Linked DNA regions of Macaca fascicularis. The protein of the gene in region 1 interacts with the protein of each later gene in a pairwise test. Links are inferred from orthologs where the notes say so. Each region holds a gene or a part of one and is shown on either strand. Other genes may lie near its edges.

Region 1 (3,518 bases):
ATATACCCAAAGAATTATAAATCATGCTACTATAAAGACACATGCACATATACGTTTATTGTGGCACTATTCACAATAGCAAAGACTTGGAACCAGCCCAAATGTCCATCAGTGATAGACTGGATTAAGAAAATGTGGCACATATACACCAATGAATACTATACAGTCATAAAAAAGGATGAATTCATGTCCTTTGTAGGGACATGGATGAAGTTGGAAACTATCATTCTCAGCAAACTATCACAAAGACAGAAAACCAAACACCGCATGTTCTCACTCATAGGTGGGAATTGAACAATGAAAACACTCGGACACAGGGTGGGGAACATCACACACCAGGGCCTGTTGGGGGGTGGGAGGCTGGGGGAGGGATAGCATTAGGAGAAATACCTAATGTAAATGATGAGTTTTTGCAGCAAATGTATACCTATGTATCAGACCTGCACATTGTACACATATACTCTAGAACTTAAAGTATAAGAAAAAATAAAAAATAAAAAAAGAAGAAAAAATTCTTGTAAAAAAAGACCAAAAAAATCATAAAATTTTCATGAGAAAAAAATCAAAAAGAGTTAATGAACAAGCCACAAATTGGAAGAAGATATTGGCAACCCACAAAATTCATGTAACGAACTCAAGATAAAAACAAATCACCCCAACAGAAAAATGGACAATGGATATGAACAGGCAGTTCATAGAAGAAAGTAGAATGGCCAATAAATACATGAAAATATGTTCAATATTACTACAAGTTAGGCAAATAAAAGTAAAACAAAATACTACTGCATAAAATAATATTGACATAAATTTAAAAATCTGGTAATTTTAAGGGTTGGCAGATTATGGAAAAATGGGGCTGTCATAAACTGTTGGCTAGAATGTACACTTTCAAAAGCTCTTTGGCAACATCTAGTCAAAGATATGCATATTTCATGAATGTGAAATTCTATGTATATATCCTAGCCTAGGCCAAGGTACATTAGGGAAGTACAAAAATTTTCCAGTAATAAATACATGGGCATGAATAACTTTAAGAGTATGAATTTTCATATTCTAAACTTCATATGTACTGCTTTCTGATGTGATCTGCCTGTGACTGTGTCTGTGTAATATGTATTCTTCTTTTAAAATCTCTCCTTTCACCATCACCTTTTTCCTTCCCTAAAGAAAGGTGTATTTCTCTCTCCTTCTGGATCTTGCTATAATGCTTTGTTCAGGAATGTAAATACCAACAGGGCATCAAACAGATATACAACTCAAGAGGGCAATGCCCTGAGAAATGAGAGAAGGCAAAGTAGAAAGAGCTTGCATAAGAAGTATTAAAGGGGAGATGATACTTATTTCATCTAGGGAACAAACTTAAATTAGCCGATGGTCACATGGATACATATTAAATCATTTATTTGAGTTTAAAAATAAAGTCGGAATTTTCTAAAAGCAAGTTTTATTCAGTAGTTTTATTTGGTTGACCGGCTTTGTTAACTGAGTTATAGAGCAGACACTTTCCACTATTAAGTAAGCTAAATCTACAGATACAAAGTTTTGATGAAAATATATAAACCTACAATATACAATATTCCTAAACTATTTAAACTTATAATAAACTTCAGATATCAACTTAAAAATGAGTGACTGTTTTCATAATATTTCAAAAAAATTCAGAGATAATTTATATAATAAGTAAAACCTTAGAAAACCACTGCCCCACCCAGAAAAACCCTCACATAATACATACAAGATCTGGGTATTCAATGTAACCTTGTTTGTAGAAAAAACTTAAAATGTCCATCAATAGAGGAATATAAAAAATTGTAATACACTCATACAATGAAATATTATAAAATATTAAAATAGGTGAACTACATATACAAGGATCAATGTGATATAATCTAAAAAGAGACAAACATGGTTTGATCTCAAAAATATAATGCTGAGTGTAAAAACCAGATTATTTATACAGTGTTTAAAAACCACTAAAACAATACTAGATGTCATTTATGAATACATATATTTGTAGTAAAAATATATGAAATGAATAGGAAAGATATTCTGCTTACTTCTGAACAGGAAAGAAGGTAAGGAAAACTGACATGAAGCTGTCTTACTTTACTCCCCATTTTAAGAACTTAAGTAAATGTTGCAAAATGTTGATGTCTATTAAATTTAGTTGACGTGTGTTATTATTTGTAATTATCTGTGGTTGAAATATTTCAGAAATAAAACAAACATTAAAAAAATCAATAAGTAATAGGTAGAAATCCTTTTTAAATGAAATTACTTACAGGCCAAGGTGGTGGGACAGAAGTTACCTCTGGAGTATGAAAATAAGCAACACCATTATGGTAAGTATAAGGATATCCAGTTGAAGTTGTTAGATACATTGTTCCAGCTGCTGGCATTATACTAGAACCTAAAGCAAAGATTAAATAATAATAATTAAAACGTTCAATTTAACTGTTAAAAATGTAGTTTCTAAACACTTCAGAAAAATATTTATCTTAATATACCTTTGTAGCTATGGTAAAAATGGAATGTCACAGGTATTTAAAAAAACTTCCTTATGTCAAAGTATCTTTGAAGCATGTATTTTTAAACTCAATACCTTAAAGCTTTTAGTTTAAGATGATTAAAAGAAAAGATAAACAATGCTAATAGAAATACTAAATATGTATCAATTCAGATTCCAACACCAGTATGCTACACAGAGCTTAACAATTTAGATTATCATCAGCAAAGTAATTATTTGTACAAATATAAATTATGTATAATTACTTTAAGACTATATACACTATAGTAAAGTTCCTAAGGTCTTGGCTAGACTTTTTATTTCTGAAAGTTCAAAGATGATGGAGGCAGTAGAGTTGGAGAAGATTCTACTTTCCTGAAGACATTTTGGTTCCACCCTACTAATTCTTTGGATATCCTACCAGCAAACATTCATTCATGCTATGGCTCTCTTTTCTCTCTCTTTTCTATGATCTATTCTCTATCTAGTCTCCCTTTGCTACAACTGCTGCTGTTGCAAACATGACCTCAAGTCTTCATGTGGCTAGTCTGGGGTCCCCATCTCGTTTCCCAGGCCAAGTTATATAAACCCCCACCACAAACCAAAAAACAATAAATAATATACATATTTTTTTTTGTCATGGAGGAGACTTTAAAAGTTAAATTAGCCAAATTAGATTAGGGTCTTAACCAGCAAGGTTATATAAATTAGTGAAACTGACAATTCTTCTTCCACCTGTACCAGTGCTTCTCAAAGTTTCACATAAATTAGAATCACCTAAATTGTTTATTAAAATGCAAATTCCAGGGACTTATCTTCAGAGATTCTGAGTCAGTAAATCTGGGACAGGGCCTAAGAGTTTGCATTTTGACAGCTTCCAATGAACTGATACTGTCTGCAAACCACACTTCAAATAGCACGGGCCTATCACTTTAAGTAATACTATTGCTCCTCAGCTTTTATATTTTCACTGCATTTGATCTAGTATTGTTATTATTTATTTTAATGGTTC
Region 2 (2,161 bases), on another chromosome or scaffold:
TGGAGGTTGCAGTGAGCCATGATTGCACCATCGCACTCCAGCTTGGACAACAGAGTGAGACCCTGTTGATAAACAACAAACCAGTCAACAAAAACAGATTGGGTACTATAATTAAAAATTGTTCGTAAGTTCTACCCAGAGAATTTTTATTCCCTTTGTTCTACAAAGTTCAATATTGTACCTTGGACAAATCATTGATAATCAGGTGTTCTCAATTATGATGGTGTTTTGGGTTATTTCTCTATTGCTTATTTTTAATGTTGAAGTTAAACTTTTTTTCACAGTTAATTGGCAAGGCATTGTAGGAAGCATATTTATAAATGTTTTAAATAAGATACAGGCAAATTTTTTTTTTTTTTTTTTTTTTTTTTTTTTTTTTTTTTTTACAAAGCTACTTTTAATACTTTGGGTTGAGCCCCACAGGAGTAAAAGACACTGGGAAGGGGTAACCCCCTCACCCCCGGGAGTGGCCCAGCGGGAGAGAGGCTACCTGAGGGGAAGGAAGCACAAAAGGGACCTGCTGCAGACTCAGGGCAAAGGGAATGCTATTGGTGCTGGGACCTGTGAGCACTACAGGAGGAAAGGCGAGCGTGGTGGGACTGGCTCCAGGCACACAGGCGAAGGGCAAGAGGGTTGGACACGAAGCCACAAAGCTACTTGGGTTCCTCCTTCTCATTTGCCTTTTTCTGCTTCTGCTGCATGATCTCCGAGTCCCTCGGCTTGCGGGCGGCAGCAGAAAGCCCGTCATCTCGGCGCTTTCCCTTAACCGAGTCGCTCTGCTTTTTCATATTCTTCTGGCGGGCGAGCTCACGCTGGTTACCGTGGGTCATGGCGACGGCAGCGGCTCCGACCTGCCTCCGTTACGTCCCCTCGTTCTGTCCCGCAAAATTCTTTTGTAAAGAAGTGTTTGGTTTCACAAAGTTAATTTCATGTTGGATAATTCAAATTAATTTGGCTGTATAAGTTATTTACAATAAATAAATACATTTAAGGAGTATTTTTCGTACCATTCTACTGTTATAGAAACAGTACTTAATTTTGTTATCGCTTTAAAATATTCAGAAATGGTGTTCATGTAGCTTTCTTATGTTATCAGGATAAGCCTCTTAATCAGTTTTAGGTGTTGTGTTTCAAAAATATGTTCCTTGAATCATAATGGATGCTTGTTAAAAGAAGTCAAGTTAGGCGGGGCAGGGGGCTCATGCCTGTAATCCCAGCACTTTGGGAGGCCAAGGTGGGTGGATCATCTGAGGTCAGGAGTTCGAGACCAACCTGACCAACATGATGAAACCCCATCTCTACTAAAAATACAGAAATTAGCTGGCATGGTGGTAAGTGCCTGTAATCCCAGCTACTCAGGAGGCTGAGGCAGGAGAATCACTTGAACCCAAGAGGCGGAGGTTGCAGACAGCCGAAATGGCGCCGTTGCACTCCAGCCTAGACGACAAGAGTGAAACTCCATCTCAAAAAAAAGAAGTCAAGTTAGAGATACACTAATTTTTTAGTAAGTAGATTTTATAGGTGCTTCATTTATAAGACAAAGTTTCTGTAATTGGTTTCTCATTATAATGCATTTCCTTGTTAGATTATTTTACCATCAACTTCCTCTTTTATAAAATTGGAAACAAGGTAGATCCTTTTTTATTAAAAAGAAGAATTAGGCTGGACACGGTGGCTCACACCTGTAATCCCAGCACTTTGGGAACCTGAGGCGGGAGGATCAGTTGAGCTCAGGAAACATAGTAAAACCGTATCTCTACTAAAAATAAAAATTAGCCAGGTGTGGTGGTACATGCCTGTGGTCCCAGCTACTTGGGAAGCTAAGGTGGAAGTATCGTTTGAGCCCTGGAGGTTGAGGCTACAGTGAGCCATGATTGTGCCACTACACTCCAGCCTGGGTAACAGAGGAGACCTTATGTCTTGAGAAAATAAAAGAAAAAAAAAAAAGAAAAATTAGTTTATGGAGAAGTAATCTCTCTGTTGGGGCTTTTGCATAACGCCATGCATGTTGTACCCTCTGCAAGTTCGCCTGGCTTAAGACAGTGAGTGGGGCCTGAAATTCAGCCCACATTCCATTCTTCTAGCTGTGTGCCTTGAATAGGGAACCATTCACCTAGAGGAAGATTTGCCTTTTTTCCAACTCACACAGAGACACATTATG

What was found.
Region 2: the proteins of BOLL (region 1) and small EDRK-rich factor 2-like interact in a two-hybrid assay, tested with the Homo sapiens proteins (2 studies listed by BioGRID and IntAct). The two-hybrid records come from large-scale screens. The link is inferred for Macaca fascicularis from reciprocal best matches to the Homo sapiens genes BOLL and SERF2.

What each region holds. Positions count from the first base shown.
Region 1 is NC_088386.1:93,362,294-93,365,811, forward strand, and holds part of BOLL (protein boule-like), read right to left. Parts: intron 2,411-3,518; coding exon 2,283-2,410; intron 1-2,282. UniProt on the Homo sapiens protein: Probable RNA-binding protein, which may be required during spermatogenesis. May act by binding to the 3'-UTR of mRNAs and regulating their translation.
Region 2 is NC_088387.1:73,609,071-73,611,231, reverse strand, and holds small EDRK-rich factor 2-like, read right to left. Parts: upstream 883-2,161; 5' UTR 831-882; coding exon 654-830; 3' UTR 511-653; downstream 1-510. UniProt on the Homo sapiens protein: Positive regulator of amyloid protein aggregation and proteotoxicity. Induces conformational changes in amyloid proteins, such as HTT, driving them into compact formations preceding the formation of aggregates.